2 linked regions of the Oryctolagus cuniculus genome follow. The protein of the gene in region 2 purifies or fractionates together with the protein of the main gene of each other region. This does not show direct contact. Links are inferred from orthologs where the notes say so. Each region holds a gene or a part of one and is shown on either strand. Other genes may lie near its edges.

Evidence for each region. The genes of interacting proteins can lie anywhere in the genome.
Region 1: the proteins of ELAVL1 (region 2) and IGF2BP1 purify together in Homo sapiens (co-immunoprecipitation; 3 studies listed by BioGRID and IntAct, with this or other methods). This does not show direct contact. The link is inferred for Oryctolagus cuniculus from reciprocal best matches to the Homo sapiens genes ELAVL1 and IGF2BP1.

What each region holds. Positions count from the first base shown.
Region 1 is NC_091448.1:25,185,138-25,189,222, reverse strand, and holds the start of IGF2BP1 (insulin-like growth factor 2 mRNA-binding protein 1), read right to left. Parts: upstream 2,803-4,085; 5' UTR 2,416-2,802; coding exon 2,241-2,415; intron 1,151-2,240; coding exon 1,090-1,150; intron 1-1,089. UniProt on the Homo sapiens protein: RNA-binding factor that recruits target transcripts to cytoplasmic protein-RNA complexes (mRNPs). This transcript 'caging' into mRNPs allows mRNA transport and transient storage.
Region 2 is NW_027208201.1:4,186,150-4,190,266, forward strand, and holds the start of ELAVL1 (ELAV-like protein 1), read right to left. Parts: upstream 2,808-4,117; 5' UTR 2,670-2,807; coding exon 2,518-2,669; intron 944-2,517; coding exon 842-943; intron 1-841. UniProt on the Homo sapiens protein: RNA-binding protein that binds to the 3'-UTR region of mRNAs and increases their stability.

The sequences.
Region 1 (4,085 bases), on a different chromosome or scaffold from region 2:
ATTTCTATCTCTGGTTAAACTTTGGAGATCCTCTTAACCACCCCTCTAAAAGCAAAGCCACCCCCAAACACACCCCCTTCCCACTTAGAAAAAGAACTGCTTCCGAAGGGGGAAGGGGGATGGAAGCCTTCCAGGGGGCCACTGCCAACCCAGCCGGCAACAGCAGAAGACTCGGTACTGTCACCACGCTTGGGAAACTAGAGAAGGCTGTGCTTACACTTCCTTAGCCAGAGCTCAACTCGAGATTTCAGAGTTCAATGAAAGATGCGAAATCCGCCATGAATTCTCAGAAAGCACCCTGTTTGGCCCAAGGATAAGGAGTACGGGTGCGCGCAAGCCCGCGCGCGCGCACACACACACACCATTCATCCACGGAGTTCTAGATCCTCCAAAGAGCCCCAGCTCACAGCCCTAACACAAAGCTCTCACCCCAGATGGCCCCCTGGTAACAATGGGCTGCAGGAGCCGGGGTGGGGGCCGCCACAGGACAGGAGGGCCAAAGCATATTCTCAGGGAAAGCCAGTGGGGGTGGGGGTGGGGAGGGGGTGGGAGGAACTGGGGGCGGCAGTCTGTAGGAAGTCTCTGCCTGTTGCAGAAATATAAATAAAGGGTAAGGGAATTCTGCGGGGCGGGGGGGGGGGGTGGTGGTGCGCGGGGCAGACCTGTGTCTCCACCAGAGTGGAGTAGAAAGGGATCCCCTAAGTCCACTTCCGAACCACCCTGCCTGACGGAAAATGGGGCCTGCAGGAAGCCTGAACTAAGATTTTAAGCTTCCGCACCAAAATGGCCCCACACTTGAGGCAAGCCCCACGAGGTGCTTCCCTCTGCTTGATTCTCTCCCCTGTGAGTCTGCAGGTACCGCCTGTTTGCCCACCCCATCCCCAACTTCTCCTGCTTTTCCAAGCTGTAAACCACCCATGACAAGATCTCCAGTCTTGCCTCCCAGCCCCCAACATCCCGAGTCGAGGGATGAGAAGCCAACGCCAGGTCTCAGCCCCCGGGGACGCTGTGGACCCCCGACCACGGCCTCTCGCCAACCTCTGTCCCCTTCCCCCCGCCCCCCCAGAGAAGAGAAGCGCTCTTTCCTACCTTTGTTTTTTGGGAACCGAATGTTCAATTTCTAAGCGTTTTCCTTGTAATTCTACTTTTCCTAAAGATTAAAAAAAAAAATTAGCGTGAGCGCGTGAACAGGGGCAGGGGTGTTGAGGCAGGGGGCTCTCGGGAAATTCAAGTTCCTGGGACCCGATTTCTCCTCGGAAGCAAGTCAGTGGCGCCCGCAGCCGGATGCCATCAATTCGTTATTATGTTCTCTTAATTTCTGCTTTGCGTCACCACGGAGCTGGTGGCGTGAATCGCTAGGAGAACCCGAACCGGGAAAGGTTCGAGGTGATCTGTGCGGGCGCTCTACCCGTTCGGCTCCCAGATGTGCGGAGCCGCAGCCAGCAGAGAAAGGACTTCCCGCTGCTCGGGGAGGGGGGGTGCAGAATCAAACTTTATTTTACTGTGGCGCGTAGGACAAGGGCTTCGGGCGGCAGGGCGGTCACCTGTCGGGCGGGTTGCAACGCCGAGGCCCCGGGGGAGCCGCGCGGGGCCTGGCGGGGAGGGTCCCGCGCCGCGCGCCTCTCGGCCCAGCCTCGGCGTCTCGGTTAGCAGCATGGCGACCCGCGCCGCCGCGCCACCGCTCACGCCCCACTTTCAAATCAAAATGGCTCAAGCCCCGGGCCCTGGGCGGGAGGCGGGATCCCCTTCCTCCCCAGTCTTGCCCGAGGGCTGTGATCCCCACGGACGGCGGGGAGCTCGGGGATCGGGCGGGGACCCCTTCCGCGCCCGGGAAGGCCTAGGGTTAGGAAGGGAGCGAGGGTGCTCCAGCTGGGGGGCCGTCTGGCGGCTGCTAGGGAGGGGCTGAACATGCAGCGAGCGCCCAGACGGGGTCGTCTCGTGGCCCTCGGACCACCACCCACCCCCCGCCACCGCCGAGGGGGGCTGCAGCCCCGGCGATGGGAGTGGAGATTGAAGGGAGCCCGAGCAGCCCACCGAGGGTGGGGAAATCCCGAATATTCCCGGGAGGGGGCGGGGGCGTCGAAGGCGGCAGGTCGAGGGTCAGCGGCGAGGCCGGGCCCCGCATGCTCGCTGAACGAGCAGTTGGCGGCCGGGGCGGCGGAGAAGGGGGGGGTTCGGAACACAGGCCTCCGTTGTACGGGAACCGGCCCGGGGCTCGGGGAGGCGGCCCGCGCGCTTACCCGAGAAAGTTTCGATGGCCTTCATCGCCCAATGCTCGTCCGGGCAGTCCACGAAGGCGTAGCCGGATTTGACCAGGAACTGGCCGCTGTAGGAGATCTTGTGCTCCGCAAACACTTTCTCCAAGTCCGCGGGGGTCACGCTCTCGTTGAGGTTGCCGATGTATAGCTTGTTCATGGTGGCGGCGGCGGGGCAGGACGCGGTGCCGGGCGAGGCCGAGCGGGCGGGCGGGCGGCGAGCCGCCTAGGCCGAGCGCGGGGAGGCCGGCGGCGGCCGCAAACTTTGTGTGCACCCCGCCCGGGAGTGTGCCCGGAGCCCCGGGCGCGGAGGGCGGCAGGAGGGCGCGCGGAGGTCGCGGCGGAGTTCGGGGGAGCCCGGAAAGTGCCCGCGGCGCGCTGGGAGGCGGACGGCGCGGCGCTGCTCCTCGCCTTCGCTCCGAAACCCCTGCGAGCGGGCTGGCGTGTCACGTTTCTCCGCGGCCGCCCTGGCGCCGCCTCTAAATAAAACCGACTTGAAAAAAAAATGGAGCGGAAAAAAAAAAAAAGGCCGAAGCCACGTGGTGACAGCCCCCACCCACCCTGCAGGGGAAGACCCCCGACGCCACAGGGCCCCACTGCCCAGAAAACCCGGCCCGGCCCAACAGCTTCCCTCCCGGGGGCAGGGAGGGGGCACTCGGCTCACGCTCAGAGGGAACTGGGGCGGCGGCGGCGGGGGGTGGGTGTGCAACGCTCCCGAGGCTCTGCCCGCCCCCTCCCCCTTGGCAGGAACCTGGCCCCCGGGGATGCGCCCCGCCCCCACCCTTCCCCCTGCCTCTACCCCAGCCTGAACTGGGGGAGGGTGGTCGAGCCCCCAATCTCCCGTCTTTGGGGCGAAACGTGTGGTCATTTTTCCACTGGTTTTGGGGCGCGGGATTGCCTACCCCACCCGGTTAACTGCTAGCGACTGACAGGCGGGGGACGACCAAGACAGACAAAGAGAAGCCGGGGACTCTGGGGTCTTCAGGAGGGGGTCGCACGAGCCGGTGATTTCAAAAGAAAGGCGCCTTTTCCTTAGGTTTCGAAGCGGGGGCGGGGGAGGTCTTCCCTTCCCCGCCCCAGCCCCGCGAGCCTCCCCCACCTCTTGGGATCCAGGACCCGGGGCCCTGCGAACACGGGGGATCGCCGCGGGTTAGCAGGAGCTCACAGGAAATAGTGTTCCGGACACCCCTGGAGAAGCGCGGGCCCGTGTCGGGGTACTAGCCACTAAATGATAATGTTCGGGTTCCCGGGGGACCGCGCAGCTCCGGCTGGGACGACCCCAGGACCGAGGGAACCGGGTGGCAGCTCCGGCTAACCCAAGCGGACCGAGTAGGGGAGCGCAGGCGGGGTGCAATCGGGTGGAGACCCGAGCGGGCCCCCAGCCCCCCAAGGCGGGGGCAGACAGGTGGAGTCCCCTGCGCCCGCACCCTGCCCCGGGACGCCGCCACGACTCCGGCGGGCGCTGGGTTTGGGTCTCGGAACTTTGTTTGGGGCGCAGGATTCGGGAAGGCGGGAGAGGGGCGGAGGGCGGGGGCCCAGCGCGAAGCCCCGCCCACGTCCCCAGGTCAGACCCGCGGGGGGAGGGGGTAATTTCCGCTCCGCGCTGGGGGAAGCGAGGGGCGGGAGCTTCTGGGAGGGGGCGGCGGTCCCTCCCGCTCGCCCGTTCCTGGGGAGGGGGAAGCGGATCCGCCCAGATCCCTTCCCTCGTCTTTGACCAACTCGTTCCGGATCCGCGGGCTCGGGAGCCCGAGAGAAGGACTAGGCTGGGCGAGGGGCGACACGTGGGCGGTCGCACCCCGTCTGGGCAGTGGGGGAGGGGGCAGCTCTCCG
Region 2 (4,117 bases):
AGAGGTGCTGGGTGGAGGACGACAGGCGAGCATGGGCGTGAACGGCCCTGCAGTGCAGACGCAGCTACTACCTGTGGCCCCTTCCCTGCTAATGATATGCTTGCTTGCCCACTCACATACTGAAGTGCTCCTTCTGGGGCTTTCTGGCTTCTCTCAGTGACTGACTCGCTTCCAGGGTCACACTCAGACCCAGAGTCAGCCAGTCTTCTCTCCCTCATGTTCCACACCTCCAAACCCATGAGCCCTGTGTCCTTCCCCCCAGTGTCCCCTCTCTGTCTCAGCACTGCAGCCCTGGATCACATCACCAGCTTTCTGGACCTAAAGCAAGGGTGGGCAATGTCTAGCCCAAGGGCTGTATAAGGCCTGTGAAACCATTTGATCTGACCCTGCCAAGGCAACCACAGGTGGGACTTGAAATCCAATAGTCTATAGCAGGCTAATTTTTAAGTTGATAACTTTGTATTGCTTGTGAATATTATAAACATCTAAATGGACCTTTGTGGGGGGAAAAAAAGGTCCCTCACCCATGCTCTAAAGGAAACCAACTGTCCCCTAATTGGTTTTCTGACGTTGAGCTCTGCCCACCTCCAGCTTTTTCTGGGCGGGACAAAGCTCTCTGTGTGCAGAATGACTCCCTCTGTGACCAACACTGCTCAGTAGTGTCCCAGGCCTGCCACAGAGGGTGGCAGCCAAACCCTCTGCCCGCAAGTGGCAGCAGTAGCCCCGCCACGGCTCCCTTCACCCTTCCTGCCCTAAAGTCCCAGACCCTATGTGTACCTGGACAAGCTGAGACAGGCCCCATCCATGCCCAAGCCCCTCCCCCTGGCTAACTCCTCCTCACCTCTCTCTCTTCATCTCCTCCAGCAGGCAGTCTGGGCTGTCTGTGCCCACCTCGGCTTGGGTTAACAGCTCCCTCTTCTGTGGCCTCTGTGTCAGCCAGAGCCTAATTGTCACAGCATTGGCTAGTGAGCTGAGATGATCCACACACACACACACACAGTGTACATCATCATCTCCCCAGAGCCTAGCACAGGGCCCAGGACGCAGTGGCACAGGGAAAGTTATTCAAAGGAGAGAAACAAGACTCACTTCCCCTCTACCCGCTGGTTTCCTTGTCTTCTGACCCACAGCCTCCTGTCGGGCCTGCCGTTTCAGGCCTGCCACCTAGGGGCGGAAGGAGGGCACTGCGCTTCTCTCACCATTCAGCGGTGAATTCCATAAATTGAATGGGAAGGGCAAGTTGATGCCGGTGCGGGGCGAAGGAACGGGGAGTGGGCTCTGAGCTGGGGCATGGAGCACAAGGAAGTGATCCTTAGCTGGAAGACAGTGGCATCTCCCAGGCAGAGAGCGCGACAGCAGGGAGGCCTGGACTCTGGGGCACTGGTACAATGATGTCAGGAAGGGAGGGAGGGCTGAGTGTGAAAGAACAGGCAGCCAAGCCTAAGGAGCCCTGATTTTTATCCTTTAAGTCACCTGAAGAGGCCAAGAAAATTTGTTTTTCAGGTCAAAAATTTGCAATCAGGAGTGGCACTGCCGGACCTGCCCTGACAGAAGACAGTTGGCAAGGGAGTGTGGAAAGCCAACTTTGCTAGACATGGCAGCAGGGAGCAAGAACAGCCGCGAAGCAAGCAGCAGAAGCCAGGAATTTCTTAACCGGCTCATTTTCCCCTTGCTGCGCTATGGCCTCAGACTCAACACAGCTAAAGTAAAACTCTGCTCCCTCAAAACCAGTGCTTCAACCTCAACACAATTTCCTTGCACACTTAGAGATGTTAGGCTTCTCAGTCTCTCCATGGACCTCAAAATGGTAGTTTTAAAGCAGGTATCAGGCCAGAGCTTGGCCTGTGGCGGTTCGATGACAGCTGAATGGAATCCCCAGAAACACCACCTGCTGGGCCCCTGTGGTTAAGATTGAGTCTGAGAGCCTGAATTCAAACCCCACCTTGGCCACATTAGCAGAAGAGCACATCAGGCCACGCAGCTGAACCTCGGTTTCTGCATCTCTAAAATGGAAATTACAACAGCACCTACCTGGAGGGCTGGAGTCAAGCACAGTCAGTTCTCAATAAACCCTGGCGCTGACTCCTGCCAGGCGCCAGGCCACGCACAACGCTAGGGGGGCCAGCACCATACCGCCTTCCTCACTATTCTGTAGCTAAAGCCCAACACAGTTCATCTCAAGGTCTTGGGAACACCTCTCAAAGGATCAGAGAGAGGGCTGGAGGAACTTTTCCTGGAAGATCAGACACTTTAGTGAGACAGCAAGAGAGACCCCACCCCCTGGGGGGGAAGGCATCTGGCAATGTCTGGAGACATTTTGGATGCTTGCGCTGGGGGAGGGGAGAGGCGGGGTCGCTAAAGGGTAAAAGCCAGGGATGCTCTCAACTCCCCACAACGCACAGAGCAGCCCCGGCCAACCAAGACCTGACCCCAACCATCCCGAGTGCGGACGCTGCGGAGTCAATCCCATCCCCATTTCTGGAACACTGGCCGTCCAAATCCCACGTGAGGACTCACTCAGCGGGAGATGCGGCGGCGGCTCTGTCCCTCCAGGGACGGCCGTGCCCAAGTTCCTCTCCACCTGCCGGGCACACAGTAGGTATCAAAGACCGTTTTAATAAGCCTCGCCACAGCGGGCACCGGAAAAGGAGGGACGAGCATCCATCCATTGTTCAACTGCGTGCAGTTTCGTGTTCTAAACACACACACATTTTACAAAAACAAACGTCCCACGCCCCACGAACAGCTTTGTTAAGAGATGGCGCTCAAAAAAAATACGTTTTTTCCGCCTCAAGGGCTCCCCTGCAGATCAAGGGGTTTGCACACTTATAAAAGGGCCGCGGGCCGGCCGCCGGTCCTCTGACAACGGCCACAAAAGAATCTGTGGGATTTCCCAGGGGAGCGAGCCGGTGGGCCGTGACCTCTGCGCGCTCAAAGCGTTCTCCTCACTCCCCCGCCCCCGGATCCCGGGCTTCCAAGGCTACCGGAGCCGCGGCCGCGGAGCCCGGCCCCCAGGCGCGTGCCCACGCCGCGTTCCCCTCGCGGCGCCCCAGGAATCCGGCCCGGGGCCTGCCGCCGGCGCCCACATTGGCCAGCCCCCGCCCGCCCCGCCCGGCGCGGCCCGCGCGCGTCCCCTCCAGGCCCCGGCGCGGCCTGGGCCTCGACCGGTGCAGGCCCGCGGGCGCCCGCGGCCAGGCCAGGCCAAGCGAGCGCAGGCCTGCCGCGGCCTACCCTGCCGGGCGCCTCCAAAAGCCCCCCTGCTTCACCTGGTCGCGGGCGGGCGGGCCCGGGGCTGCTCCGGGACGTGCGGGCGGCGGCTGCGGCGAGGCGCTAACGGCTCCGCTCGGCCTCGGTAGCGGTGGCGGCGGCGGCAGCGACGGCGACGGCGGCGGCTCCTCCTCAGCGCGCACGACCCGCTCCGGCCCGCGGCCCGGACACGCCCCCCCGGCGCGCGCGCCTATTGGTCTGCGTCCGCCACGGCGCGCCGCTCATTGGCAGGCTTGGCTGTCGCTGCGCTCCGGGGCGCGCGGAGGAGGCGGGACTTCCGGTAGGCGCCGCCTGCGAAGGCTCAGAGGCCGGCGGAGACGCGGGTGGCCAGCGATGGCCGCGAAGGGGGCGAGTAGGGGCCTAGCCCAGGAGGCCGACTCGAGGTGGTGGGCGAGGAGCGGCGTTCCTTGTCGAGCACTTGCCTTGTGCCTCACACCTGTCTGCCTCGCTGCAGCTGCCGCCCAGCAAGGTAGGAAGGGTCGGCGGGCCTTGGCTGTGGGGAGAAGACCCGGGTTCGAATCCCGGCCCGGACGTTGCCCACTGCTGCCGTTGGCCAGGGGCTGACGTCACCTCGCCAGGCCTCAGTTTCCTGATCTTGCACGGTGGGGAGGCGGGACAAGGGAAGTGGTGAAGTGCTCCAGCAGGGCTGGCTGTTAGGGCCTCACGTTTCTTCACTTAAGTTGTACTGAGCACCTGCTGTGTGTGCCAGTCCCTGTAGGGGCAGTGAGTGGACAAAAATGCATGCTATGAGAAAACCATGCATGGATTTCAAGACATTTCGCGCCAAAATAAACTTACCTCTCAATTCCACTTTCCCACCTCTTGTTTTGAGATACCCCCTGTATGCAAG